4 linked regions of the Struthio camelus genome follow. The protein of the gene in region 1 interacts with the protein of each later gene in a pairwise test. Links are inferred from orthologs where the notes say so. Each region holds a gene or a part of one and is shown in the gene's direction. Other genes may lie near its edges.

Region 1 (7,652 bases):
ATGATTTTTTCAGAGGCCACTACAACACGTAACTCGGCATGATGTGGTAAAATAAAAAAATGAACAGCAGCCTTTCTTTGGAATCTGCTTCCAAAGGACCTCAGCATTTTAGACCAAAAGTTTTTCTCTTTGAGTCGTACTGTAGTACTACATACTTGCTTAGTCTTCATGAATGCTTAGCTCTCATTTCACTAAATGTTAATTTGCATGAGATACTTGTGGCTTTAAAGAGACAGCATTGGCTCTCTGGGTCTGCCAATCTAATTCCCTTCCATCTGAAAACAATCACAGTCGGAGCTCTGGAGAACATCCTCAACATCCCTATTCTGATAGGGGCTACACTCATTTCTAAGAGAACGCAGAGAAAATAAAGATGTTAGTCACATGCCATTATGTTCACATAAGTGGCACTTCAAGTTAAAGAATACATTCCAAATATGTTCTTGTGCTGATCGTGTTCATTTTTAACTTCCCTGAGGAAAGTGTACCTTAATTAGTCTGCTGTAATCCAAATTAGAATTTCTCATATGTTAGAGCTCCTAAAATACCTTAAATCAACTGCATATGTCTGAAATAAAAATGAAAATAACTGCATTATTGAAAATTATCTGAATACAAGAGGGCTATAAATAGACAGGAGGTGGATTGGACAGTCGGCAGATTCTGAGTTGGAATAAAAACATCGTACTTAAGCCAAAAGCATGGCAACCGATATTTTCTGTTATAAAAATATTTGAGATGAATTTAGTTTTTATGAAAGCTGTCTGAAACTGAAATGGATAGCAGAAATTCTCTGTTTATTTGCAAGCCAGTATTAATACCTGAAGCACAAAGCAAGACACCTTAAGAGCAATGCCAACAAGCCTCTGATTGTATTCAAAAATCCTTTTTTGCCACAGGAGAAAACTGATTGTACGTTCATTCTCTTTCACAGTAACCTCCACCTTGGTAATGCCTGTCACTTGAGCAAAGTGTATGACAGGTCTGTGAAGTGGATTACTACTGTCCACTAGAGGCTGTAATGAGACCAACAATGTCATTTTATGACAAATTGAAGACTTAGACTGTAATGATTGATAATTTTAAGATTATTTTTCACACGCAGTACGTCTCTAATCACTGGATTTCCCTGGGTGCGAATGTTAAAAAAAATCCAACTTCTTATGCCTCGTATTCCCTCATTTTTCATAGTTAACTATTAATTGTATAAAATACGCAGTGTAGATGACACAGTACAACTAGTGCATTGAAAGACAGTTTCTTCTAGACAGTGTGCACCTTCCATGTCAAATTGATTAATGGCTTTTGGTCAAGAGCGCATTCAGCTGGGAGTCATATCACTTTTGGCATGTCACCAGCAGTAAATAAAAATGCTGGAGTCTACGTGTGTTCTTGCGTCCCACTCGCCACTGCAGTATCTGAGCCCCGTCCACACTGCGCTCAACCACGTGACTAGCATCTGTCCTGGATTTCGTGGCTCACTCTCTCCCCTGAGGGCAGGACAGCCGGTAACAGAATAGGTTGTTTTGGAATTTTGCTACTACTTTGGGGTCCACCCCTGTTGCTATATGCCCTTGTCAGAGGGGGCAAGGTGAGGCAGTTTAGGGCAGTTCGGAGCTGCTGTGAGAGCCCGTTTGACGTACCCGGGCTAGCCCTGGAGCAAGACCTCACCTCTTTGCTGCTGAGTTGCCTCCCTCTGCTGTGAGAACCTTCCTGGTGGCAGGTAAATTCAGGTTTATTCTCTGTAGCAAGTGACTCCTTCTCTTGGGGCATAGTCCTGCACCTCTGAGTCAATAGGCCACACTGCCTTAGTACACACTAAGCGACCTTTGCCCCAGCCAGTCACCACAGATCACATTCAAGTGCTGTTTCGCAGCCCCTTGGCCCTCAGCAGCCCTTCTGTATGTTGTGGTATAGAATAGAGAATAGCTGGAGTCCCAGTATAGGCCCTGAATAAAGGAACTGCAAAGGCACAATGACATCTCGTGATATGGTAGTATATCCTCTGGGCCAGGCAATGTTAAGGGAGGCATGATAAGGGGAGTCCCCATCTCTTTTTCGCCTGTTATGCACCCGACATATTCCCAGTCAGAAGAAGGCGAGGAACGGCTTATGAACCTGAGGTGGTTGGCTGGAGTTATGGCATTTCCCAAAGCTACGGTTTTAAGGTTGCCTGCTGGCTCAGGAAGACAATATTGCTTTGATTTCTTACTGACTTACATTTTAGGGGTCTCTTTTCAACTCTGAGGCAGAAACACAGGCAGAGATTTAGGAGCTCAGCGCCTCGTGCGTGGCAAAAAAACGTGGGTCCTGTGGCAAACACCATAGCCGCAGAACGGAGAAATAACACAAGCCTCTTACATGAGCCTGCTGCAGAAGGGAAAGTTGCCCAAAGCTTGCTTCAGCATGAATGTGGCTTCTCTTTCCCGGCGTGTGCCACACCTCTTGGCAAGGTGAGCGAGCGGCTGAGAAGGAAAGATTCCTTTCTCCTGAGGTAACACTCTGTGCAACTGGAATAAAAAAGGTGGCGGACGGGAGACTGCCGCATACTCAGACATGAACCCTGGTGACGGGGTTGCAGCTTCTCCAGGGCTTTCACTTGATTTTCAGTAATCCTCAGTCCCTGTTTCTCTCCCTTGGTTACTTTTGGTAAATCAATGAACCTTGCGTTAGCTGGTTGAAGATAATTTTGCTTTCTGCTTTGCTGCTGGATATGCGCTATCACATGGTGCTGAGTGGCAGGTTTGACCAGACATCTTGGCCTGTTGCTGCTCCTATCCCCAGATCACTCATAAAATGGAAGATGATGTTGGATTTCATAGTGAACCTGAACTAAAGATGTAGAGGCTGCAGTAGTAGAAGATTCTTACGCTTCATAAAGTGAGTCTGTATTCAGTATCTACTCTAAATCAAGAGCGCTGCAGCTTAAAATGTTATTATTACATTCTTTAGCAATTACGGTGAACTAGCACAGTTGTTTATAGAAGGGACGACTTGCTGATCAGCAGAATGACAGAGAGAGTCCTAGGGTATTTTGCATCTAACCTCTAATGCTAGAAATATCTAATGGACACATATATCTACACTAGAATCTGCTCCCTTGGAGTCTGTTGTGGTGTGGGCAAATTGGTACAAGCTGCAATGAGCAGTCTGGTCTGAATGGACATATTGCAGGGAGTCCACATACACTGCTCCCTGGAGCCTTTCCAAGGCTTGTGCATTGGTGCATCTATCGCACAGCCTCCAGCTCGGTGGAGCAGGCATATAATTGCCTTCAGTATTTATGCAACGGTTTTGCAATGTGGTGGTGGCGGGGGGGAGGCTTTCTCCATGCGGCACGTCCCTTCCTGATGCCAAAGCAGAGCACGAGTAGTTGCTTATGGACCCGCTGTCAGGTTGCATGCAAGCCTAACAGCCCTACCATCCTTTGGTTGTATTCTTCCCATTTGTTTCTTCCATTAATTGTTTTAATTTCCTTAAACTGTACCCGTCTTGGTAATATTGTGTTTTGTCTTTTCTTTTCTCCTAAAACTTGGAAGACCAGACTGAGCCAGTCCAGAAAGAGGACATTTACTTTGGTCTCCAGTTTGCATCTGTGTTTGTTGTTTGCCCATCACTGCAGTTTATGAACTACGGAGACCCATGTTGAGAGCAGTAAGGGGCTAACGAGCTGATGCTGGAGCATTGTGGAAGTGTAAACTGCCTTAGCCAAGGGGAGAGTTCGGGAGGGACTCACGGTGGTCTGTGTACAGCTGGGAGAGATGTGAAGGGATCTTGGATGAAATGCGTGCTAAGCATCTGGAGAGCCTTAGTACCCAAACATGCGTGGTTCAGCCCTGACTGTCTTGTAGTTCAGTGATGATATGAGTCAGACTCTCTTTTGGTCTGAATGAAGTAGAAGGTACTTTTTGCAAAGCAACTCAAGTATATGCCAAGGATCTGGATAAATAAAACTAATTCAGAAAACGGGAGTGGGATGCAGGCTCTTGCTCAAAAACACTTTGCAGTTCTCCACAGCGAAATGCAATATGGCATCTTAAATAAAATCACCCCTTTCTGACTCTCACAGAGGCTGCTTCAGAGCATTCCCTGGCTTCCAGCACAGTTTTATTTCCTCCCTTAGAGAGGCAGACCAGCCTTGATTGAGCCGCTGATTTTCATGCATCCCTTAAACCAGCATTCCCTGCCATTTCTGAAGGACAGCATGCTTTGCTAGTCGGCTCTTCTTTCCTTGGTAAGCCATATAGTTTTTTTTTTCCCTTTGGCCTTCCTTCCCCCCTCCCCCCCCCAAATGTATTTCTTCCTGCTTGCAAAGTGCTCGGCGATCCCGAGGAGCAGGCGGTTGTGCACAGCAGCGGCGTGCGCACACGAACCCCGCCGCCGGGAGCCGGCCTGGCCTTTGAGGTGTTAAAAAATAAAAGGGCGGTGGTGGCGGCGCAAGGGGCGACGCGGCGGCCCGCGGGGCGCGCAGCAGCCGCCGCCGCAGCAGCAGCGGCCGCAAAGGGTTAAGGCGGCGGCGGCGCTGCGCGGATGCAATAATCTGTGTGGCTCTGCTGGCCGCCTGCCAAAGCGCTGCCTTGCCTCCTCCTCCTCCTCCTCCTCCTCCTCTCCCTGCTCTCCCCCCCCCCCCCCCCCGTTTGCATGAAGTAGGATCCTTGAGCTGTTGCAGAGGCAGCCAACTGCTCCATATTTGGCTTCTGTTACACATTTACATACTGGAGAGAGAGAGAGAGAGAGAGAGAGAGAGGAGAGGGAGCGAGCTCTGTACCGCAGACATCATTTCTACTACAGTGGTGGAGACATCCCGGACCTGTGTCACTGCAGGGGGAAGGAAAAAAACCAACCAACCAACCAAACAACAACAACAACCACCACCACCTCCCCCCCCCGCCCCGAACAAGCAGCCCCAAGCCCTGTGAGCAGCTAGGAGGACATTAGTGCGCGAGTCTCCCTCTGGCCCCCCCCCCGCCAACCCCACCTCCACTGACACTTTACAGTAAGTGGCTTTTTTCTTCCTCCTCAGCTTTTTTTTTTTTTTGTGCCTTGTTTCCATCCCCCCCCCCTTTCCCTCTCCCCGGCTTCTTCCCTTGTTTAGACTGCGAACCGCCAGCGATTTCCAGCTGGAAAAACACAGGGTTGCGGGGGGGGGGGGGGGGGAGCGCACCGCCCGGGCCCGGGCCCGGGCCCCGGCCGCGGGGGGCCGCGAAATGGCCGAGCGCCGCCGCCGCGGGAGGGGGCGGCCGGGCGGGAAATGTCCTCCGAGGGGAAGGGAAGGAGCCGGGCCGGGGGGCGGGGGGGGGCAGCCCCGCGGCCGGAGTTGCTGGTGAGGCCCTCTCTTCTCCGCCCCCCCCCCCCCGCCGCACCTTCCTCATCCTCCCAACCCCCCCCCCCCCGCCGCGGCGCGGCGCGGCCCGGCCGGGGGTGTCGGTGTCTGCGGGGACGGTGGACATTTTGCGAGCCGCGGCCGCCCCTGGTGCGGCGGCGGCGGCCTCGGGCTGTGTGTGTGTGTGTGTGTGTGTGTGTGTGTGTGTGTGTGTGTGTGTGTGTGTGTGTGTGTGTGTCTGACTGTGCGGGGAGGGGGGTTGTGGTGGTGTGTAGTGGTTGGGGGGGGGGTGAGTGTGCGGCCGTTGGCGGCGGGTGGGGAGGTTGTGTGGCTGTGTAGTGCGTGCGGGCGGGCGGGCCCGGCGGGGCGGGGGCCCGGCCGCCGCCGCCGCACGGCGTCTGTAGTAGGGGCCGGGCGGCTGCCGGAGGGGTGAATGAAGCGGGGGGCGGGCGAGGCGGAGGAGGCGGCGCTGCGGCGGGGCTGTGCCCGGCAGCGGCCCCGCGCCGCCGCCGCTGCCGCACGTAGGGGCCCGGGCCGGCCGGAGGCGCCACCTGGTACTGGCAGCGCGGGGGGAGGGGGGCAGGGGAGAGGGGCGGCCGGGGCCGGGAGGGGGCCGGGTCCCCGCTGGCGGCCGGGGTGCTGCGGGAGCCCCGTCCGGGCGACGCTGTCCCCCCCCCCCGGTTATTATTATATATATTTTTCTGACTTGTTGAGATCTATTTATTTATTTGCCTGAAGCGGCGGAATTTGCCGGCGTGAACGCAGATAAATGACTCCCTCCCTCCCTCCCTCCCTCTCCCCCCACCCCCCAATCCTTGTTTTTAGACGCCTGTAGGTGCTGAAGCCGTAAAATGCGGTTCCTTGAGCATATCGGAGTCTTAATTTAAAGCGTGCTGGAAAACGTTAGCGCCGGCTGTAATAGTAATAGCGGTAATAATCAAATGACAGAATGGGGAGCGATTTACATGTTACTGAAGGGGAGGAATTGCTGAAGAGTAATAATAGAAAAGAAAACAAGTCGGAAGCCCGTTATATAATGCACTATGTAGATAACAGGAACGACGGGCTATTTTTATTTTGTTTACCGTATGCTGTGTAATAGGGACTCCTCCAAGCAGCATCTCTCCCCTGTGAGCCTGAACTCCAGGCAGAATTAGCAGAAATTACAAGGCATTCCTGTTATGCCCACACGAAGGAAGCTAGCTTGGTAAAACGTTGCTCCTTACAGATGTATTTTGTGGACGAATCAGGAATTGTGCAGGTAGGTGACCTTTGCTGGAGATCTTGTCCATTTCATATGGTAAAGAAATTTGTATTTTGTAAGGCAAGTTGCATTTAACCTTTACTGTTCATGGTAATGTATTATTTTATGCGGTAATGGTTACTTTACATGTCAGATGTGGTCAGGCATAGTGAGTTACTTCGCTTACGTGCTGGGAAGTCAAGGACTTTTAATTTCGGTTTCGATTGAAAGCTTTCATTAAAGGAAAATCCAGCCTTCACGTTAATCTATTTCTCTTTGGGTGATGAAGACAGTTCAGCTTTGTAACAGGGATCAAAGGTTGTGAATGAGGGAGAAAAGAAATTGAGACTGGTCGGGGGAAAAAATGCCGCACTGGAGTTGTTGCTGAGGTACGGTGAGAGAACAGCACGATGTAGTTTTTACGTTATTGCCCCTAATTTGTCCGTACAAACGGCCCACTGTTTTACAGGCAGCGGTGCTTTCTGGAGGGCGACTTTACTAGTCGCACGGCTTTTTTACGTAAGGCGGAGGTGGATAGATCCCCTCCGGCTCTCGCCCGTCGCTCCCGCGTAGCTGCGTGCCGGTGGCACAGGTTTCCAGGGCACCTACTCCAGCCCCCGTCGCTCCGGTAATTAGATGAGGCTGCCATGGTAACAGACGGTATTTCTCGTCCGTTCAGGTGTGCGTGCGCGTGTGTGTGTGTGTGTGTGTGTGTGTGTGTGCATGCGCGCGTGCGCCCGCTGTGTGCCCGGGCCACCTCGCGGGGCGTGCGGGTGGTATCGCCCCGTGCAGCCCGGGCGGCCCCTGGCTTTACCCCGCGGGATATCGGAGGATGCCCCTGAGCGTTTCCCTCCTTCGGCCGGAAAATATTCCTTGCGTGCTGTAGTATCAGGCATAGTATATGGTGTGCGTATCGAGTTAGCCAAATCGTCGGTTCCGCTTGTGCCGATTATTAGCGAATTAGCAGAGGTGTGGTACTTCCTTTAAAAATCCTCTTCGTTTATAAAAGCTCGCATAAAAGTTTCTTCAGAGTCGTCCTTTTGTGTTGGCTGGCTGTTTTAACCGCTTGCAGGCTGAAGTGGTTCG
Region 2 (7,526 bases), on another chromosome or scaffold:
CACAGAGACCCTGGTGGCCCTGCACAGCTCCAAGAGATGAGGAGGCAGAAGGCAGCCCTGCCATCAGCGGGGTGACTCAAAGAGATACTCCAGATCTGGCTGCCGCAGCCTCTGCTCCCTGTTCTTGTTCTTGGCAAACTCCTTCAGCATGGCCATGACGTCGTTCTCAAACACAGCTGGCGTGGGTTTCGCTTCTGCAGTAAAAAAAGGGGCAGCACGACAATGGTTGGCTCTACCCTCTCCCAAAGCATTCAGCATGACGCCAGCCATGCCAAGCCCAATGTTTTGCACCCCAGAGCGATCCTGGCCTCGTCTCTTGCCCTGAACCTCAAATCAGGGCAGGAGATTGCAGTCAGAGCCAGGAGGGCAACAGACGGCTGCACTGTACCTATTGCCCAGTAGTAAATGTCCCAGTCATTGCTGGGCTCATTGATGAGCCGGTCATAGAGGTTCAGCTGCCGTTCACTCATGCGATTCAGGTTCTCCTTTGCAAAGAGGCTGGAGGAGAGAAGATATATGAACATGAGCAAGGGTGACTGCAGGAAGAGCCGGGCTGGCACGCTGATCCTGACACTGCCTGGTGCCCAGCTCTCTAAATGCTGCAAGAAGACATAGAGGAGCTGAATCCAAGGTGACCTGTCTTCTGCCTTAAGTCCTAGCCTGCTCTCCAGCCATTAACCACTTCTTTAGTCCTGCAGTCCAAGAGGCCTTAGCCCTGCTGAACTGGCTAATGAACTTCACTAAACCCCTGCTGGAACCCAGAAGCTTTCAGCGGTGCTCACTTTCTGTGAGGTTCTGAGCTCAAAGAGCTACCTCCAGCCTCGGAGAGCACGGGAAAAAATTCCTTTTATCACTGCCTTCAATCTCACACTGCTCCTTTGGTACTCGTGACACAGAAGGCGAGACACTCCCCTCCCCTGCCCTATTCCTATATCCCAGATCTAGCATACATCCTTCCCAAAGGAATTTGACTCGATCTACCGCTAGGAGGAGCTTCCTCTAGACATCTCCTGCCTCAGGCGGCCTCTAGTTCTGTCCCATCCTACCCTGCAGCAGTGCTAATCACTGCACCGCAGACCTGTACAGGTGATGCTCTCACAGCGGTTCACCTGACTGCTCACAAGCAGAGCCTCAGATACTTGCTTTCCATCCCCTTAGCAATGTTGCATCTCATTAGGTTTTAGATTATGGCTGTGCACTAGTGCACCTCCAGCTCTTCCCTGTTAATTAAAAACCTGTAACTTCTTTAGGGAGCTGAACTATACGGCAGCTACCTCTTGGCCAGCCTTTCTCACTTCCTCCCTGATCTCTCTGGTGTGGCTAGTGTTGGCACTGTCTCTTCTGCAAACTATGCTCCATCCCTGCCTACTCCCATCTGCAGCGGACAAACGAGCACTGTCAGGGCATAGCAACCCAGACGTCCTGACGCAGGGGAGGCAGATGAAGCTGCAAGAGGCTTGCTGAAAAGCTGGGAGGGAACGGGGCTCAGGGCGTGCGTGCTGCAGCTCCGGTGGGAGGACAAGCACCCGGCACCTCACCTGAGCAGAATGCAGTTCTCCAGCATGCCCCTCTTCCTGCTCTCATACAGCAGTCGGGCTCGCTTGGTCTCCAGCGGCTCATCGGGGCGCTCCTGCCAGGGTGGTAAGGGGATCTCTAGGATGTCCTTCCCCGAGTCCGTGGGGGAGTCTCCGCGATAGCCGCACTGCACAGACACGTGCCCCAAAACAGGCCGGCAGAGCACCCGTCCGGACAGCGAGCAGAGCTGCTGGAGGGGACACAGACAGCGCAAGCGTCATACCCTGACGTGCAGCAGACTTCAGGCCTGTCTGCCCTCATGCAGTGGAGTCAGGGAGACTCCCCAGCCCAGACAAGGCCCCCCCAGGACCTGCTGCCCCCTCAGCCCAGGCACGGCACCCCCAGGCCCCCCAGGCCAGACACGGCCCCCCCAAGCCCTGCTGCCCCCCCAACCCAGACACAGCTCCCCAGGCCCTGCTGCCCCCCCCAGCCCAGACACGGCTCCCCAGGCCCTGCTGTCCCCCCCCCCAGCGCTGACAAAGCCCCCCCAGACCCTCCAGCCCAGACACAGCTCCTCAGACCCTGCTGTCCCCCCCCAACCCAGGCACAGCCCCCCGGGCCCTGCTGCCCCCCCAGCCCAGACACGGCCCCCCGGGCCCTGCTGTCCCCCCCCAGCCCAGACACGGCCCCCCGGGCCCTGCTGTCCCCCCCCAGCCCAGACACGGCCCCCCGGGCCCTGCTGTCCCCCCCCAACCCAGACACGGCCCCCCGGGCCCTGCTGCCCCCCCCCAGCCCAGACACAGCTCCTCAGACCCTGCTGCCCCCCCCAGCCCAGACAAGGCCCCCCCCCAGGCCCCCCAGCCCAGACACAGCTCCTCAGACCCTGCTGCCCCCCGCAGCCCAGACACGGCCCCCCCAGGCCCCCCAGCCCAGACATGGCTCCTCAGACCCTGCTGCCCCCCGCAGCCCAGACACGGCCCCCCGGGCCCCCCAGCCCAGACACAGCTCCTCAGACCCTGCTGCCCCCCCAGCCCAGACACAGCCCCCCCAGGCCCCCCAGCCCAGACACGGCTCCTCAGACCCTGCTGCCCCCCCAGCCCAGACACAGCCCCCCAGGCCCCCCAGCCCAGACATGGCTCCTCAGACCCTGCTGCCCCCCCAGCCCAGACACGGCCCCCCCAGGCCCCCCAGCCCAGACACGGCTCCTCAGACCCTGCTGCCCCCCCCAGCCCAGACACAGCCCCCCCAGGCCCCCCCAGCCCAGACACGGCTCCTCAGACCCTGCTGCCCCCTCAGCCCAGACACAGCCCCCCAGGCCCTGCTGTCCCCCCCCCAGCCCAGACACGGCCCCCCGGGCCCTGCTGTCGCCCCCCAGCCCAGACACGGCCCCCCGGGCCCTGCTGCCCCCCCCAGCCCAGACAAGGCCCCCCCCCAGGCCCCCCAGCCCAGACACAGCTCCTCAGACCCTGCTGCCCCCCGCAGCCCAGACACGGCCCCCCCAGGCCCCCCAGCCCAGACATGGCTCCTCAGACCCTGCTGCCCCCCTCAGCCCAGACACGGCCCCCCCAGGCCCCCCAGCCCAGACACAGCTCCTCAGACCTTGCTGCCCCCCCAGCCCAGACACAGCCCCCCCAGGCCCCCCAGCCCAGACACAGCTCCTCAGACCCTGCTGCCCCCCCAGCCCAGACACAGCCCCCCAGGCCCCCCAGCCCAGACATGGCTCCTCAGACCCTGCTGCCCCCCCAGCCCAGACACGGCCCCCCGGGCCCTGCTGTCCCCCCCCCAACCCAGACACGGCCCCCCGGGCCCTGCTGTCCCCCCCCAACCCAGACACGGCCCCCCGGGCCCTGCTGCCCCCCCCAGCCCAGACACAGCTCCTCAGACCCTGCTGCCCCCCCCAGCCCAGACAAGGCCCCCCCCCAGGCCCCCCAGCCCAGACACAGCTCCTCAGACCCTGCTGCCCCCCGCAGCCCAGACACGGCCCCTCAGACCTTGCTGCCCCCCCAGCCCAGACACAGCCCCCCCAGGCCCCCCAGCCCAGACACGGCTCCTCAGACCCTGTTGCCCCCCCAGCCCAGACACGGCCCCCCAGGCCCCCCAGCCCAGACATGGCTCCTCAGACCCTGCTGCCCCCCCAGCCCAGACACGGCCCCCCCAGGCCCCCCAGCCCAGACACGGCTCCTCAGACCCTGCTGCCCCCCCCAGCCCAGACACAGCCCCCCCAGGCCCCCCAGCCCAGACACGGCTCCTCAGACCCTGCTGCCCCCTCAGCCCAGACACAGCCCCCCAGGCCCTGCTGTCCCCCCCCCAGCCCAGACATGGCCCCCCGGGCCCTGCTGTCCCCCCCCAGCCCAGACACGGCCCCCCGGGCCCTGCTGTCCCCCCCCAACCCAGACACGGCCCCCCGGGCCCTGCTGCCCCCCCCAGCCCAGACACAGCTCCTCAGACCCTGCTGCCCCCCTCAGCCCAGACACGGCCCCCCCAGGCCCCCCAGCCCAGACACGGCTCCTCAGACCCTGCTGCCCCCTCAGCCCAGACACAGCCCCCCAGGCCCTGCTGTCCCCCCCCCAGCCCAGACACGGCCCCCCCAGGCCCCCCAGCCCAGACACGGCTCCTCAGACCCTGCTGCCCCCCCAGCCCAGACACGGCCCCCCCAGGTTCCCCAGGCCCTGCTGGCCCCGGACCCTCCTCGATCCCTCTGGCTCCATCCCTCTCAGCTGCCCCCCAGCTGCTCCCACAAGGTCACCGCCCCTCACCTCCCAAGCCCAGCCCAGCCCTGCCCCAGGCCACCCCCAGGTCACCGTCACCCTGGCCACGGCCATGGCTCTCAGCATCCCGCCTGGCCGCCGCCGCCCCGCGGAGCCGCTCTGCGAAGCGGGGCAGCCCAGCTCTATGGCCCGGCGGCGCGCGTCGACGCGAGCTACGGGGGGGGGCGGCCGGGCGGGAGGGCCGGAAGGGGCGGGGCCGCCGCCGGAAGGGGCGGGGCGGCGGCGGTGGCGCGGCGGCGGCGGCGGCGGCGGCGGCGGCGGCGGAGGCAGTGGCAGTGGCAGTGGTGAGCGCGGGCGGCGCGCGCGCGCGCTGGGGCCTGCTCGCCAGGCGGGGCCGCGCGCGGTAACGGGCGGGGCGGGGCGGGGCCGCGTCAGGGCCGAGGCGGGGGGGGGCCCGGCCGCCGCCGCCGCCGCCGCCGCCGCCGCCGCCGGGGACGGGAGGGGAGGTAGGGCGCGACCGGCCGCTTCCTTCCCCTCCCCCCGCCGTTGGGGCAGGGGCGGGGCGGGGGGCCGGGGGGCGGTAGCGCTGTCCCGGGGCGGTTTGAGGACTGCTCCCCGGGGGGTGTTTCGGGGGAGCGGGTCACTGTCCGCCGGGACGGGGTTAGTCCGGGGCCGGGAGGAGGTGGTGGCCCCCTCCCTCCCCCGGGGGGGGGGGGTGCTGTCCGCGGAGAGGGGTCCGGGCTGGGGGGCGGGCGTTGGGTGCCCCCACCGGGGGGGGTACGATCCGCTTCCCGGGGATGGGTCCAGAGCGGGGGTTTTGGGGGGGGATTATTGGGGATGTAGGGTGGGGGGGCTGGTGTGCTTATCACTCTCGGTGTTGAAACAAGGGGGGGGTGAGATGGCCCCAGGGGACGAATCTGGGCTTGGGGGAGGGGGTCACGCTGCCCTCAGGATGAAGGAAATAGGGTGATGTTGCCCCCGGGGCTTGGTCTTGATTTGGGGGATTGGGGTGACGTTGGCCCCAGGGACTGGATCTTGGCTAGGGGGTTGGGATGAGCTGGCCCCCCAGGGGCGACCCGTGGCTAGGGGGTGTGCTGTCCCCGGGCACGGGCTTCTCTAGGAGAGGAGGAGTTGGTGTTGGCCCTGGGCACGGCGCGGCTGGTGCCTGCCGGGAGAAAAAGCCTAAAACCCTATTGGTAGTGGCGGTGGGGCAAGGGGATGCGGGGGGGGGGGGGCGCGCAGGAGGTTTCCAGCGCTAAGGTGATCCCCCTCCCCTCCGTCGCCCGCTGCAGTGCACCTTTGGTCTTCCTGCCTCGCCCCGGTCCCCTCCTGGGTTCTCGGTCCTGTCTCTGGAAATATGTCCGAGGGAGTGGATCTGATTGATATCTACGCCGACGAAGAGTTCAATCAGGTGAGCGGGGCACCAGGCCATGGCGCCGCCCCGTGCTGGGACCACTGTGGTGGGGGGGGGGAGAGGGAGGGCGGGCAGCTGCTTGAGCAGCTCACCCTTTTTTGGGGGGAAGAGCACGTTAACCAGAGTTGGCCAGCTCACTGGCAAGACGCTTAAAGCGGTTGGTGTTAGTGTGTGTGTACTTATTGAGCACAGGCAGAAGAAGTGGCTTGTGTGGGAGGAATACAGTGGGACAGCATTGAAGAGTCCCTCTGGGAAACTAAGGACTGGGACTGTCATCAAATCACGGCAGCTGTGATTTTGAGCCATGAATAAAATGTGGTTTCTATAGGTTTTGCAGGGGATTCAATACATGGATGGTTACAAAATATTCAGGCAGTTGGGAGGGTTGAGAAGGAGGCAGGGTTTCCACCAAAACATTTACCGAGCTGTTGGTGACTGGGGATCAAAGTGGATAGTCGTGACCTGCTGTGGCTGGAGAAATAAGACGTCTAGACTAGAAGAGAGCTGCACCGAATATCTGTGAGAGGACTGCGTAGCAAGGGAGTTTGAAAGCACTGAACCTTGCGGGCCTGCAGATGTGCATGCTGGGTGGTGAGCTCTCTGGGGAAGCGCTGCGTGGAGACCTGCACGGTAACTCAAGATGGTCGGAGAGCTGCTGGTTGCAGGTCATCTGCCTCAGGTGCCGGGGGCCGAGACTGCCAGAGACCTGCCGAAAGAAATGGTGGAGAATGTGTGTGCGCAGCCTCTAGAGAAGCAGATTTTAGAGAGTTCAGAGATCTGGACAACTGAGGAGAGTGGGTGTGCCTGCACATCTTGGAAGATTGAAAACTGCCATGGAAAGACCATGGAGGAAAGTTGGTCCTTACTGGATGGCAAGCTGCAAGAACTAGAAGCAAAGCACAAGAAGGAATTGCCAGTTGGCTAGAGCTCCCAGAGGGCTGAAGAGGAGTCGAGGGCAATAAATCCTTTGTTCTGAAAGGCGGGAGGTTATCAAGAGAGAATATGCCTTAAGTTAAACATTCAGGGAAAAGTGAAACATCAGAAAAGCGTGTTAATTGCCTCAGAGATGAGAGAGAACTGAGAGATGCTTTCAGCTGTCTGGGAAGAAGCAGGAGTTCCCCACTGAAAGCAATTACATTAGAGAAGGGCAAAGTCAAATCTGGTCCTAACGTTGCCAGAATAATGGAAATCTCACTGCAAAAGTGAGTTGCAAAATAAATACGCAGTGTTTGCGCTGCCTATAGCTGCAGGCTGCCCTGCACAAGTATCCTCAAGCTCTGAAATACTTCTCCCTTCAGACCTGGGTGGTTCTGCAAAACTCTTCGAAGTCAGATCCCCCATGTGTTACACAATCTAAGACTACAATGCGACCGGATTGAACTATTTTGGGTTAGAAATAGTCTTAATTTGCATGTTGCCTTGCAAAAAGCTTTTAACAGTCAGAATCAGGAAAGTATACCTGGACTTGGGAGGCAGAAGGTAGAGTTAAACAGTTGAAGGAATAAAGATGGAAGGTCTGGAAAAAGGAAACATGTGGAGGTTGCTGGGCTGGAATTTAGAAATACATTAAACGCAAAATAACCAGCAACCATCATTTATGACAATTACCTTAAATGCCAAAGGAAAACAGTGAAAGAGCTGGAGGAAAATAAATAATATATCTTCATCTGCAGAAGGAGAAATGTGGCGTCGGCAGGTGTGATCTGGAAAGTCTCTGAACGTCTTGGAGGGTAACTGATGAAGAGCAAACAGGTGGGAGGGCTTAAAAGGAAAATTACTGTCACACTGCTGGTTTTCCACTTAGATGGTCAAATGCTGCCTGTCCTGCCTGTGCATTCAGGCTGGCTTGGCAGAGAAGGCTCATGTGCTGGAAGGCGTGAAGAAGGAAG
Region 3 (7,482 bases), on another chromosome or scaffold:
CGCAAGGCCATGAAGCATGTGTTATGGGTTATGTTAAACATGAAAAGTACAAAGCCAGCGTTGTCCCCATACAGCAAACGCGATCCCGTTGACTTTATTGGAGATACAGATCCAAATCTCGTCCACAGCCCTGCAGAAAGAATCACTTATATGCTGTCTTGAAGCATACTGTTATGCTATAATGCGATGCAAAGTAGCATACTGGCATTTTTCATTCCCAGTATAACTGCTTGCAGTGAAAGGACAGGGAATTTCTATCTCATGACAGGAAGCTTCTGATCTGAAATTCGGCTTGTACTGTGAAACAACTGGGAATGCATCACAGCCAAATTCTTCACTGCCCATGCATTTATTTAGATAATAGGATATGGCTGGGAGGGCATATGGTGCCAAAGTGAGGCAGATTTGTTCATGAAAATTTGAACTTCATTTTTATATCTACTGCCATATTGGTAGGGCCAGGAATTCCTCATGCGACCTTCCACTAAATACATCACTTCTTTGAGGCAAATTTACTGGGTTTCTGGAAGACTTTTCCTACGTGCCAGAACACCTTTTTCCTCTTGATTCCTGACTGGAACGGATGGGAGGGTAGGAAAGAGAGCTGTGGTCCCATAACGTGCCTAGTCCACCTACCTCTGATTTGCTGCTATGGAAGAAAAATAAGCTGGTAGGAGCTGCTCCACCATAATGAACCACGAGCAGGAAAGGGATGATGCCCCGACCCCACATGTTCTTAGTTTAATGTTCCCCCTTCTCAGGGACATTATAGATGGCTATACCTTTTACATACTGACGTATAGTACTGCGTAGTACTACAAGCGCTCTCAGAAGTCTACATTGCTGGAAGAACATCTCTCAGAGATGCAGGAACCAAGACTTAACACAAAGATAGACATGTCGTTATAGAGCTCCCTGCCTGAAATACAGGATCAAGAGCTGTGGGTGAAGCAGCAGCAGCAGCACTCCCATATAAAAAGTTATGCTAGGGTGGAGGACACTGCCTGGGCTGAGCATCTCACAGGGAAATGTCTTCTGACTGCTCCAGCAGGAGCTGCCCATCATCATGCCCACACAAACCTGGTCTGCCCTGACTGAAAATATTTTTTTTAGAAGGATGTTAAGACCCCAGGACAAACCCTATTAACATGGTCCTTGGTCCTTAGCCATCTAAAACTGTCTCTCTACGTTTGGATGGCTATTGGATTTAGATGCTGTGTGGGTGCTGTGTATAAAAGAACTGGGGAGAAGGGGGATGCATTAATAACAACTGCCTCACCCCTCTCCCTCTTTTTCTCCATGGTGGCTACTGAAAGAAAGATGAACCCCATTGTGTAACACCAGATACAAGAAAAAAAATACGATTAGGTGATGTATTCCAATTAAAAATCAGCTTGTTTCCAAGAGTATTGCAACAGCCATAGACAAAAAAGTGTTTAGGATGATTTTATGAGGAGACTTGAGTGTCGATTGGAATAACAAAGCTAAAGAAAACTTAATAATGAATCAAAGTATTTAAAGAGCAAAGGTATGTTCCATTTACATGCTATCTGTATGTTTATGGTATCTGACTGTCTATAAAGTAAAATATATGATCACAAATGCTCAAGTTTTTCTGTATTTGTTTAATGCATTATCTTCTTTTATGCAAGGGCAAGGGCACAACTGGTACAAAGTCTCTTCATCTGTTGACAAGAGAACAGTAAAAGCACAGCAGTATTAAGAGTGTGCTTCTCTCTGGCTTCTTACTTTTGTCACAAATATCACCTAGTAGTAAAATCAAAAAATTGAGGGGCAGCGTGCGCTCATGCGTACCTTCTGAAATGCTTTACACGGAACTATTTTACGCATTTCTGTGCAGTCAGTGTCTCTCTCTGCATGACTCCTACACAGAGCAACAGCAGAGAAGGAGCATTATAAAAAGAGAAAAAATATTTCGGTAAACAAAAAAAATTGACAAGAAAACTAGGGGTCATCTGTAGAAGGATATGGCATCTAGTCACTTATGAAACAAAATTAGAAGTCTTTCCAAATTGCTGTTGTGCTTTTAGGCACTATGAAAAATCTTTCCAAGAGTTACTAAAGTTTTTAAGAAGCAAACATTTTGTACAATATAAACTATCCTTTAAATCACGTTACAAAAATTAAGCCTTGAAATTAAATGTTATGACAACACATTGCTACAAAAGTAACACTGAAAGATCAGAGTTGGCCAGTTTGAGGTGCAATATGGCACTGAAGAGGGAGAAGCAGCTGACTTCCTACAAAGTACTGGAGATCAGTCACCGATACAGAAACCAGAATTTGCAGATGGGCCTGCTCACATTAAAATATCTGAGATCCAGGGTCATGTACTGCTCAGTACCCAGGGATAAACAGATTATCAGATTTGGAGTCTGGAAAAACAGGTTTAGAAAAAACATTTTGTTTTAATAGCTGTTTTTCTAGCCTCCTTTGTCGTGCTTCCTAGGAGTTCTCCTTAATGAATAGCTTGTTCTTGCAGGATTCAGGCTAATTGGCAATGCCCTAATTTTTTCTTTTCTCTTGCTGAGTTTTATCATTGCTGTGGATTTTATTATTTATGGTGGGATTTAGGTTTATTAAAAGGTGTTGGGAAACGTCCTGTGGCTTGGTCACGGGGTCCCCTAGAGCAGAAGTTCTCTGGATGCTTCTGGGCTATATGTCACTGCATGACTTCCCGAAACTGGGGCTCAGACTCAGTACAGGTGGTCCTCTTCAGTCCTCCGTTTCTAAAACGTATTCACAGAACTCAGATGTATTGATCGTTAAATAAAAAACAGAGCAAATGAAGACATGAAGATTTGTGACATTCAACTCAATGTTAAGGTGACAAAAATAATGTTACAGGATTTTAAAAATCAAAGAAGCTATCCATATCCATTTATTTGCATGTGCAACTGCTGTGATTATTGCACAACATGTAATACTGTGGAGAGTGACAGAGCTGAAGTTAATAAAAGAGAAAACCCATTGCCTTGAATTATGCAATTTGCTATTTCAGCCAGCTATTAATGTTTATTGCATTTCTGTACAAATTGATTCATCCTTCCTCTTTAAGGCAATTAAACAAATTAGTGCCATTTTTATTCAGCCTGATTCACTAAGTGAAATTGTAAGTTTCAATTTAATTAGTAAATTGAAGACTGAGGGAAAGGAGCTCCATTTTGCCTTAAAAATTTGACAGCAGGAGTTCATTTCCAGAACTCAGCTCAGTACTCTTTAACTACGGTCATGAAAATGAAGCAATGTTGCCACCTACAGACTACCTGAAGCTATCAACACGGTGAACAAAACGGTAACTTGCTCTGAAACCGGAGGATAGAAACAGCTGGTGAGACTGAACATACAGTCTTCCAAATTAATATGCAGAGGCAATTTTTAATCAACAGAAACGCTGCATATGTTAATATTATATCATTACAAGCTCCGGATGATTTAAAATAATGGTTTTTGAGGAACAAAATACTCAAGAAATATAACTCTGCCCTCATTTTTGAAGAATCGTCAATGTAGTCTTCAAATACAATTTTATGTCCAATATATCACCTAAAATTCTTTACAAAATATGTTACAAAATATTTTTTAAACCAGTAAGTGCAACTTTTCCACCCTGAAGTTTGAGACATGCGTATCATAGCTGAGGGAAAAACTGTGGTCCCTGAAATTTCAAATGACCAGGGGGGGAAAAAATTCACCGAATCTCACAGGAATGCTTTCAGGAATCTTGTTCGCCGTATTTTCAACGTCCTGATTTTCTCACAGAAACACTGCCGCTTCAGCATGGCAGCGCCTCGCTTTTCCATGAGTCCAACGAGAAATCAAAAATCGGCTCGGACTCACGCGCTGACGCTCCCGGGCCCACGACTCAGGACTCAGGCTCAGGACTACTCTGACAAGCGGCTGTAAAACTTAGGACGGGGCATATTCCGGCAGGCACAGGGTGCTGGGCGCGACGCCACTGACTCACGCACCGGCGGGCAGGGACGCTGCTGACGGGAGGCCGCGCTCCTCACAGCGCTCCTCCGCTGTTGCGCACCACGTTTCTCCGCCCAGCCTTTCACACGACCGAGCGTGGGCTCTCAGGCGTCTCTTAAAAACAAGGGGGGAAACGGCTGCGCGGTCGGGACCGCACCGAGCAGCGGAGACGGAGTGGGGGGGATGGGGGCGGCCGAGGAATAACGGCCACCACAGGCGCCAACGGCCGCCGCAAGCACCGCCTCAAGATGGCGCCCCCGCCCCGACGTCACAGCCCGCCAACGGCGCCCCCGCCCCTCCGCCCCTCGTGGGCGGGGCCGCGGCGCTCGGCCTCCTGCAGCCCCGCCCTCGCGAGGCCCCCGCCGCGCCGGGGTGTCCGCAGAGCGCCTGCCGCCTGCCCGCCCCGCTCCGCCCACCCGCCGCCGGCGCGGCGCGTCCTCCTTGGCGGCGTCAGGCGCGGCGGGGGCAGCCGCGCGGGGGCCTTGGCGGCGGGGGCGGGCGGGCGGTGTCTCTCAGCTGAGGAGGGGGCGGGCGCCGCCGCCGCCGCCGCCGCCGCCGCCGCCGCCGCCGCCGCCGCCGCCGACATGCCGCTGTTTGCTGCTAGCCCCAACGCCTTCGAGCAGGACGTGGGTGAGCCAGCGGGGCCGCGGGGGGCGCGGGCGGAGGCCGGCCGGGCCTCGTCGCCTCTCGTCTCCGCGGCGGCGGTGGGGCTGTGCTGTGCGGGCCAGGCCGCGGCCGGCCACCCACCCCACCCCCCCCGCGCGGGGCGGCCGTTAACGGCTGGGCCCTCAGCGGCGGTTACTGGCAGCCGCGCGGCGAAACTGAAGGGGAAGGGGGGGAGAAAAACCAAGCCTGCAGCTTTCTGGCGAGGTTAATGCTCTGCGTGTTCGTAGTGTGTTTAGCTTGTCCCTTCTGGGCATTAAAGGTGAGAAATCAACTCTGTTAATGGCAGCAGGATCGGCTTTTTCTGCCCGTTTCGGTGTCTGCTACTGAGGCATCAGCTGGGAACTGATGTGGCAGCACCGAGTTGAGCCGGAGCTGCCATTTCTTGCCGTTACAAAACCCCGAGGCGGCTGGGCTGGGCTGGGGTTGGTGCCGCTGACAGGGCGAGGGTGCTGACTCAGCGGCTTTTTGTTTGACCCCTCTGCTCGGTCTCGAGCATCGCACCTGTTCTGTGTGGTTCTTCTTAAAATAATGCCAGTTCTGAATCTGCGGCACAGCAAAAAACAGTTGAAGTAAGCTGGATGCCAGAGTCAGGTTTACATTTGTTGATGCCCTGGTATTTTAGGTAAGAGAAGAATTCAGCATTCCTGGGATTTCTGTCAAAACTGGAATATATACTCATGGAAAACATTGATGTCTGTGCTCACGTTACAACACTATCTCTTTTCTGTGTAGAATAAGTCGCTCTGTTTTCTTAACGTGTCTTCAAAATTTGCATAATAAAAGCATTCCCTTTCTTTTTCTTTTCACAAACCGTCGTGAGATTGTAATGTTGACCTATGATTAAAATAAGGTAGAAACTTGTCAGACCAGCTGTATATGGGCCAGTTATTTCAAGTATCTTGCAAAGCTTTATCTGTGTTCCAGCCAGAGGTATCTTTTAAATGGCTCTAACTGATGTATTTGCAAAGTAAAGACTCTTTGAACTGAGGACTCTCTTATTTGTGCAGAATTTCTTGGCAAACTTAAAGGCTTCAAGGACTTTCAAATATTATAGTACTTCAAAAGTGACAGACTCTTCACTTACAATTTCTTTAAATATACCTTATTTAAACTTGGTGAAACAGTGTGCACTTACTACAGTTAAGCAAGTGCAGCAGAGTAAGAACTTCTGGCTGGTGAGCTGAGTCATATATGAAGGTGAAGGGATAATGAATTTGGGAGTTTGGCAAGTTGAATCAGCTCAGCAAAAGCGACAAAAATGATAGTGGAAAAGAGAGGCAGGACTCCTCTGCAAAGCTTGATGGGAAGGACAGCAAGCAATTAGGTTGATTCGGTTGTCCCTTCAGACTGTACATCTAATGCTTCCGTTTTTTTGGAACACCTTTAGAAAAACGTGGATAAACAGACTTTTGCTTTGTCACAGCTGGTTTTGCTTCCTTGATTCTGGGTCCTTATGTTTGCTTTTCAGCAGAGCTGCATAGAGTCTTAGTTCCTTGGCATCTGCTCTGGCAGCTTTGTAAACAGTTGTGGTGTCACAGGATTAACCTATGGAATAGCATTTTAGAGGAGCTAGATTTCTTCCCCCTTTTTTTTTTTTTCTTTTTTTCTCTCCTGTTGAGAGGATACTCCGAAACTTCAGTTCTTAAAGGGTTAGAAGCTTTTAAATTTCCTGTCTAGATTTTTTCATAGTTAGTTCTTATGCGCTTGCTGTTTCCCCACTGTTGTCCTCTCTTGTAAATAACCTTCATCTCTTAAGTAGTTTCTCTCTTGATAGAGAGCTAGCCTATTCCCTTTTCTCTTTTGTTAGTCTTCTTTCTTAAGATCGTTGACACCGCCAAGGGAGTAGGGAGCACTTTCCCTGCTAATTTGAACGTTGTTATCCAGACGTGTACCATAGATTGTTCACATCTTGTGTAATAGCATTTAATGCTTCCTTGTACTTTGATGAAATGTTTACCTTGCACTTTTCACTCTAGTGTTGTATTTACCTTTTCTGTGGCTGCTTTGTGTTGGTGGCCCATGTCCTCTTGTATTAGATCCTGGCGTACGAGTCGTTCTCCTGCCCTGTTTTCCATACTCTGTTTCCAGCTGTTCAGTACTCAGTTTCTAGGAGAATCTTTTATTGGCCTTGACTGTGTGCGAGTTTATATTTTCTCCTACTAAATGCTATCTTTTTCCATCTAGTTCAGTCCTCAAGGGCTTCCCTTTCTCCTTACGTGATGTTTTAGTCTTTCCTTGTATGGCCAATACCTTCCAACTTTCTGCTAGATTTATTACAAGACCCTTACTCTTGCTGTCCGTGTCAGCAAGGGCTTTTAATATTGATTTCAAGACCAATTTTGAGGCATTTAGGACGTAAACTCTCCCTGCCATCACTAGAGTGCTTTATGTTAAGAGTTGTCTGTCTTATATTGTGGAATGATCTAAGAACTGTAGCTAGTTACTTACGCATGGCATCCTATGAAATGTTTTGCTGCAATCTGACTAGACCAACTGATGCTTAAATTAGCCTTTGATAAGATATCCTCACGTAGAAAAATAACTGATGTCTGTTACAGTTCACCATGTCTGTCCTTCTCAGTCTGTAGTAATTCTTGCTTTCAGCATTTGGTCTGAAGTCTTGCAAATGTTTGAAGACAAGCTGTAATTGTTTTCTGTTGTTGCTTGGGTCTGTCTTTTTTCACCTTCTTTAAACATAGGGACCACATTTTCCAGTCTTCAGTCTGTGGCTCTGTCTTAACTTATTACAAGTCTTTACTTCTGAATCTGCAATGTTGGGTCATTTCTCTCTTGTCCCTGTGATTATTACTGCTCTGCTCC
Region 4 (6,899 bases), about 61 Mb from region 1:
TCGTAATGCTCAAATTAAAGGTGACTGGATTTCTTTGTTTTCTACTTCTTTCTTTAGCTTTAAACACAGTCTCTCCTATTCTGAATGTGCTGTGCGAGTAGCTACCGTAAATTAATTATTCAGCGTGCACAGAGTAACTTTTTCAGCTTTCAGTTGTGACTTCTCAGGAAGGATCGCCTTCCTAATTGTTGAAACAACTGTTGATACAGGCTCTGTATCCTATTCTATTTTGGACACGCAGCAATGCCTCGGAAGCTACAGAGAATATAAAAACATTGTGACGGCTTCAGCACGTGTTCTTGCTAAATATCACCAACAGTTGTATGTATTTACAGATCCTTTAACTTCGTATGAAGAAATAAACAGCAGGGTTCTTAAACTTTTGTTCACGCTTATTCCTAGTTTGTTTTCTTTTTTTTTTTATTAGGAAATGAAGAAAGAAATTGCAACCTTCCGTTGTGCTCAGTAATGTGATCTTCAGAATACTTGATTTCTGCTCCGTAATGTTTTATTTTCATTGCATGCTGTTCTGTTACCTGTGTATAATTCAGTAAAAAGTACTTCTAAATATATATATTATGTATACATACATATATAAAACAAATATATCTTAAAGTATATTAAAAAGGCTCAAATAAAGTCCTTTAACTGCTTTTATTTGATATTTTTGTCCTATACATTATTGTATGATAGTAAATCTGGACAGAAGGATTATACATGATCTGTTGAGATCAGTGTGTTCAGCTTTCTTTTCCAATATGCGTTGCCTTAAAGTTTTGTCGTCTTTTTTTGTGACATATGTTTGTCAGTGCCTTTGGAACTTTGTAGATTTGAGCATCTTCCAGGTACTCTAAGTGCCTCTTTTAAAATAAAACATTGGAAAACTTGATACACTTTTATCATCTTCTTCCAACTTGTTAGAGTATATTTTTCTGAAGTCATCTGTGGTGCTGTATGTTCCATTGTATATTACATAAAGGCTTTAAAACAAATCTTATTCTGATATATGAAAAGTAAATCCTTTAGAAACCTCTTAATCTGGTTCAGATGTAATTTTTTTAATCACCTGATAGCACCTCAAGTGGCTTTCATAAAATTAACAACCTAAAGAAAGTGTGTGGGAGGAACATTGTTTCCACAAACGTAAGTATTTTTGCTACGACATATTTTGCTTAACTGTCCAAAAAAAAAAAAAAAAAAAAAAAAACCCAGAAAGCAAGATTCTACAGATTCTAAAGTAAAGTTTAGTCTTGCTTGTAATACTGACAATCTTGATACCACGGAATAGAATTTTAATATAAATTGTTAATTGCACGTGTAGGTGGCTTACAGTGGAATTAAATTGTAAATAGTTTTCTGGTCTTCTGGAGAGTATTATGTTTGTGTATTACCTAAAACTAAATACATTATTGCTGATAAATATATTTAAATAATACTAAAGCAATACCCTTTATTGAAGATGGATACCTCTTCAATCCAGAAGAAAAAAAATTCTAAGTTAATTTGACAGTTATTTTTAAAAGCAGTTGAGAATAAGATGGTCTAAATTTTTTTGAAAATGAAAATATATAACAAGTACAATAAAGTATGTGTATCATGTTGCTGTTGTGTATGTGATATGACATAACACCTAGTGATACTGAATGCCTAACTGTGCAATCTCTGAATGTAAGTTTTCTAGTTTTCGTATCTTTTTCTCTTCAATGTGTGCCCAAACATTTGTGTACTATGCAGAATTTTTCTTCTGTCGGTAGTGTTTGGATGTATATTATTAAAAAGTGAATCATCATTTGAGTTTGTCAGTTTTAATTGTAGAATAATTTGAGCATTAAAAACCTTACTTGTAAGTCTTAAGACTTACACTGGTATTTTAAGTGCAAGTACTTTATATGAACAGTTAAACCAAGAATGGGGTAATCAGTTATATGGCAGAAGCAAACATGAGAGGAAGAAAATGTATATTGAGGGATGAAGGAATCCATCTCATCTTGCCTTAGCTTGATCTCCAACTTAGTTGGTGGCTGTCATAGATTTTTGGCAGGATTGGTCTGTATGGTTTGCTGATCTTTATTCTCCAAGATTACTTTTTTTAAAATCCTGTATAATGGGGGTGAGGCTGAGAAATTATGAGAAGGAAGACTGGAAATAGCTTCTGGAAAGCTTGAAAGAGTAGACACTGTCTCTTTGTCCTTCTCTCCTCCTTTTTTGCTTTAACTATACGATCGCCCTTCTCCTATAGCTGAGTTCTGCAGGGTAAAGTTTTGGGATGCTAGCTAGCATCCTAGAGCAAGCAAGCAGCAGCTCACCTTCTTAGGCCGGTCTAATAAACTTCTGCCTCCACTGAGACATGTGTCCTTCTATGCATAGTACACTACTTCCTTATCTTAACAATTACATCTACTTCAGTCATAAAACATGCAACTTACCTGGCATATGATTTGCCTGTATTTACCTACAATATAACTTAGTTCAGTTGTTTCCTTGGGTATGTTACGGATGCAAGTGTTGTCCAGGATTCACCTGTACCTGGAAAATAAAAATTCCAGATTTCAAGAGTGCATGTGTATGTAAGCGAAAAAACGCTGTATGCTGATGCTGAATCTGAAAGCCACAGTAGAGGACACGTTCAGTGGACAACAGGAAGCTTTCATCCTCCAGGGAGAGGAGAGGGAAAAAATTATTGAAGCAAAAAAATCCTTTTTTACCACTTCAAGGTGAAGTTGAAAGCCTGACATCCAAAATGCACCTTTCACCAGGGAGTCGCTGCTAGCTCATTGTATGGTAACTAGGAAATTTCTTACTTGAACTTTTTAAAAAAAAAAAAAAAAAGCATGGCAAACGAAGAATCAGAAACAGTGTTCTGCTCAAAACTTCAGAGTTTTGGTTCAACTTTTATGTACTGCTAGCCTCAGCAGGAAACAGTACCTATATTGTTTTAAAAATGTATAGATGTGTAAATCTTAAAGGTTGGTGTGATGCTATTGCTTTTTTTTTTTCTTCCTACTGTGAGGAAACTTAAATTTTAGTGTGACCCCAAATTGCAAACTACTGCTTAAGATTAGTATGTTAAACAGAACGTTTCAAAAAGTGCGTGTGGCAGGAGTTAAACTAAAGCCTGACTAACCCGTTGAGGGGCGTATTAACTGAAGAGGTCCTCTTTCCCCAAGTTCTGATAGGAGGTATAAAAAAACCCACGTTATTTGGTTTTATAGTTCCCTTCCCCCCCCCCCCCCAAAAAAAAAAAACCAACCTTTAATTCTGTGCCAGTTTGTTCGAGCCCGGCGCGGGGGTGCTGGGCCGTACGCTAACTCCCTGCTTTGGTGACAGACTGGCCGTCGCTAACGCAATCTCAGATTTGCAGAGAAGGAAAAGCTGTGAGGTTAAAGCCGATGCTAGCTTTAAAAAATCACATGCACGTGTACACAGACACACGCACGTACACATATAGGTACATATCAGATTCACATCCCTCCTATGTATGCGGAGATCTCGGTTCAGAGGAGTTGGTGGAAGCTGCTGCTGATCCAACGCCGCCTCGTTAACGGTTTCTTCCCTGTCGCCTCCAGGGCTTCTTCTGCCTTCTCCCGTGCCCGAGGCGCAGCCCGGGGCCGAGCCGCTTGCCCCGGCCCGCCGCGGGGAGCCGCGGGCCGCGCCGCAGGTGCCCGGGCAGGGCCGCGGGGGCTCCCCGGGCCGGGGCCTGCGGCGGGTGCCCGCCGGCCGCCTCACGGGCGGGGCGGCGGAGCGGCTCCGCCCCCGCTCCCTGTGAGGGAGGCTGAGGCTCCGGCCGCCGCTGCCCGGCCTCCCCGCGCAGCCCGGGGGCAGCGAGGCGCCGGGAGGATGCGAGTGGGCGCCGCGGGCCGCGGCGAGGCGAGGCGAGGGCCCGGGCGGCCGGCGGCGGCGGCGCTGGGAGTTCGCGGCTCGCTCGCCGCCCCCCCGCCGCCAAAGAAGTGCAGTAGTTTGTGAAACGCAAGATGGCGGCGCGGCCGTGAGGGGAGGCGGCCGGCGGGCGGCGGAGGCGCCGGCGGCGGGGGCGAGGAGGCAGCGCGGCGCCGCCAGGTAGGGGCCGGCCCCTCCGGCGGGGGCGAGCGGGCGGCGGGAGGCCAGCGGGCGCCCCGCGGCAGGCGGCGCCCTCCCGCCCGCCGCCGCCGCCGCCGCCGCAGCAGCAGCCGGCGGGCGCGGGCCAGGTGCGCCCCGCGGGGGCGGCCGCCGCCCCACCGCCGCCGCCGCCCGCCCGCCCGTTGCGCTGCCCGCGGCGGCTCCGCGGGCGAAGTTTTGGGGAAGGCGGCGCGGAGGCGCCGGGCGCGGCCTGACGCTCCGCTCTCCCCCGCCGCAGGATGCGCAGCGCCGGCGATCGGGAGCCACTTCGGTAAACGGCGCGACGGAGGCGGCCCTGGATCCCCGGGAGGACTCGGGATATCCGCAACAGCGAGCGCTCCCGGGCAGGTACTTCATTTTTTGCTTTCCTGCTTTCCCCGTGCTTCATGTTTTGAGCCGCTTTGCTTTTCTTGGGGGTTTAAATAGCCGAGGGACCAAGGGGCTCGCTTTGCACCGGGCGCCGGTGAAAGCGGAAAGGCCGGGGTGCGGATGGGTCTGCCAGCTGGAAGAGGTGCCGCTCGGTTGTTTTTTTGTTTTGTTTTGTTTTTTTTAAATAGAGATGAGCAGAGAGCGTGTTGGGAACGTCAAAAGTGCGTATGGAAGTGGATTTCGTTATGGAACTTGTGACATGGACACTGATGTTTTGTTAAAGTTAGAGACGGGAATTTTTAGAAGCTGCCCTGTTGGTTTTGACCAGCAGTCGTCTTGTTTGGTTTTGTTCAGAAGGATTTCGCACGCAAAAAAAAAAAAAAAAAAAAAAAAAAAAGAAGCTTTGGGGCTCGCGTAGAGACAGAAAAGAGCCCGTTCCAGCTGCTTAAAACAACCCGTACGACGCAAACTGTAGGGCTGCCCTAAGCAAAGACCTCTTTGAACGAGCACGCACCGTCAGGAAACCCTCCCGTCACTGCGTTGAGACGTGGTCAGGGAGGCAGCGCGTTTCAGCTGTGAGGTTCCACAAATTCCTCTCAGCTGATGAGAAATAGATGCTATGTTTTATAGCGGAAACGATCTGCCGTTAACTTTCAGGTCCTGGCACTTGCTCTGTCTTTGCTAGACTGACAAGCCCTCTGCTCTCCCCTTTTGGTTAGCATAGGCGTCTGCTGCGATTGTCCTAAACTTGCCTTTGTTAAGCATAACGGTTTGAGGCAGCGCTCTTCCTTGCAAGGCCTGCTTTCCTACTCTCTTAATGGTTCTTAGGAGTTTTCCTGGATTCTGTCCTTTCTGACAACACCCTTGATGACCTGTGCGTGCTTCAGCCTCATCAAGTGCTCTGGCGTCTAGCCTTGACTGCTGTCACTTACCGTTCTTAGTTACTGTTGGAATAGAGAATATTTATCACTGCCTATGAATAGGTCGTTGGAGACTTCTAAAGCTGTTTGTTGAACATCTCTGCCTTTTGTGGATTTCTCGGTACTGAAGCATCACTAACAAATAATGGACTTTGTACTATGTCTGGGGTTTCTCTTTGTTCCTAATGTACTGAAAAGACGGTTTCCTTGCATCTTTTGCTTCATTTAACCATGTGTATCTTTCGACTTAAGCTTATTACTGCCTCTGAACTTTGCCACTTAGTTCTCCCCTTTCTCCCATTTGTTACGTGTAGTGTGAAAGAGAGGGTTACAGTTTGATTCAATTTTTTGTCTAGTTATGTTTAACCTTTGCGGCCGTTTTGTTTGGGAGATGAGTTCTTTGGAATTTAGAGAGGTCATATTTGAAAAATTATCAGTCTTATCAAGTCAGATTCTCTCTTTTAGCTTGAGTTCAGAATTTTTTTCCAGCTATATGAAGCTGGTCCTTTTAAAGCACCAAGTACTTACAAGCTGGTTTTTCATTCTGTTTGCACACAGTAAGTGTAATCAAATCATGCTCACTTGTAGCTAAGCTATGGCTCGTCTTTGTTTTGGTGTTCATTTGTTCTTTACCTGTCAAACTGAGGTCTAATGTAGAATTCCCCTGTGTCAGATGCAGCATTTTAATTTTATGAAATTATCTTCTCTAATTTTCTGAAAGCCTGAGCCTCTTTCAAAATTGACAGACTGATTCCTCTCCCCTTAAATTTCAGTCCTATGTGATAACAGTTTTGGGGTTGTGATGGTGGGGGCGGTTCTTAACGTTGTTAAGCGGGGTGCATGAGGCCCTGGGCGTTCTGATCTCTTCCGTAAATTAACGGTCAGTATTCCCTCTCCTTCTTGTGCTTTATATGTGAGGCCACTGATCCATAGAAGTCCAAGATGGTTTGCCCTGAGTTGTCAGTGACTTGTAAACAAGCGATGCCATGTTCGGTGTAGTACCGTTTCCCCTTTTTCTTTTGTTCATTTGATATTTCCTAAATAGGCAGCAATATTGGTTTTTGGCATTCTGGTCATGTGTATCTCCCCTCTATGTGTCAGTAATATCAACTTGGTTGAATATATGCCCATAAGAATTCAATTTTTTTTTTATTATTTAGGTTTCTGATATTGGCAAATTAGCTATTAAAGATGCTTCTTTCTTCAAGCCACTAAAAGGATGTGATTACTTCTGTTTTCAGTATCTTTATTATGTTGCTGACTACTCATTTATTCCACTTTTTGTTCCCTCTCTCTCTCTCTTTTTTTTTTTTTTTGGTGCTTCTAACTTTGCACCTTCTCAAGCATCTAAACCACTTTGCTGCATAAACATTTGTTTATTTTCCTGTGGAGATGAAAGCCACCCAAAGTGATACAGTTTCTTATCCTGTACCAACCAGATGACATTTCATAATTCTGTGCCTTGCATCACTTTAACTGATGTTTCCCTTCCAGTTCTGTTTCTTTCAGTCATGC

The links.
Region 2: the proteins of ATXN1 (region 1) and CPSF7 interact in binary tests that used the Homo sapiens proteins (3 or more experiments, as listed by UniProt). The link is inferred for Struthio camelus from reciprocal best matches to the Homo sapiens genes ATXN1 and CPSF7.
Region 3: the proteins of ATXN1 (region 1) and STAM2 interact in binary tests that used the Homo sapiens proteins (3 or more experiments, as listed by UniProt). The link is inferred for Struthio camelus from reciprocal best matches to the Homo sapiens genes ATXN1 and STAM2.
Region 4: the proteins of ATXN1 (region 1) and ZHX1 interact in binary tests that used the Homo sapiens proteins (3 or more experiments, as listed by UniProt). The link is inferred for Struthio camelus from reciprocal best matches to the Homo sapiens genes ATXN1 and ZHX1.

What each region holds. Positions count from the first base shown.
Region 1 is NC_090943.1:99,619,953-99,627,604, reverse strand, and holds the start of ATXN1 (ataxin-1), read left to right. Parts: upstream 1-4,648; 5' UTR 4,649-4,996; intron 4,997-5,782; exon of another isoform or gene 5,783-5,877; intron 5,878-6,425; exon of another isoform or gene 6,426-6,584; intron 6,585-6,645; exon of another isoform or gene 6,646-6,960; intron 6,961-7,027; exon of another isoform or gene 7,028-7,245; intron 7,246-7,652. UniProt on the Homo sapiens protein: Chromatin-binding factor that repress Notch signaling in the absence of Notch intracellular domain by acting as a CBF1 corepressor. Binds to the HEY promoter and might assist, along with NCOR2, RBPJ-mediated repression. Binds RNA in vitro.
Region 2 is NC_090946.1:4,000,278-4,007,803, reverse strand, and holds the start of CPSF7 (cleavage and polyadenylation specificity factor subunit 7), read left to right. Parts: upstream 1-4,510; 5' UTR 4,511-4,567; intron 4,568-4,695; exon of another isoform or gene 4,696-4,729; intron 4,730-5,515; 5' UTR 5,516-5,580; coding exon 5,581-5,634; intron 5,635-7,526. Other genes in the region: SDHAF2 (succinate dehydrogenase assembly factor 2, mitochondrial), read right to left, coding at 64-194, 389-498, 1,539-1,765, 4,317-4,349.
Region 3 is NC_090947.1:44,678,640-44,686,121, reverse strand, and holds the start of STAM2 (signal transducing adapter molecule 2), read left to right. Parts: upstream 1-4,469; 5' UTR 4,470-4,580; coding exon 4,581-4,626; intron 4,627-4,651; exon of another isoform or gene 4,652-4,921; intron 4,922-7,482.
Region 4 is NC_090943.1:160,143,053-160,149,951, reverse strand, and holds the start of ZHX1 (zinc fingers and homeoboxes protein 1), read left to right. Parts: upstream 1-3,880; 5' UTR 3,881-4,056; intron 4,057-4,333; 5' UTR 4,334-4,443; intron 4,444-6,899. Other genes in the region: ATAD2 (ATPase family AAA domain-containing protein 2), read left to right, coding at 210-281. UniProt on the Homo sapiens protein: Acts as a transcriptional repressor. Increases DNMT3B-mediated repressive transcriptional activity when DNMT3B is tethered to DNA. May link molecule between DNMT3B and other co-repressor proteins.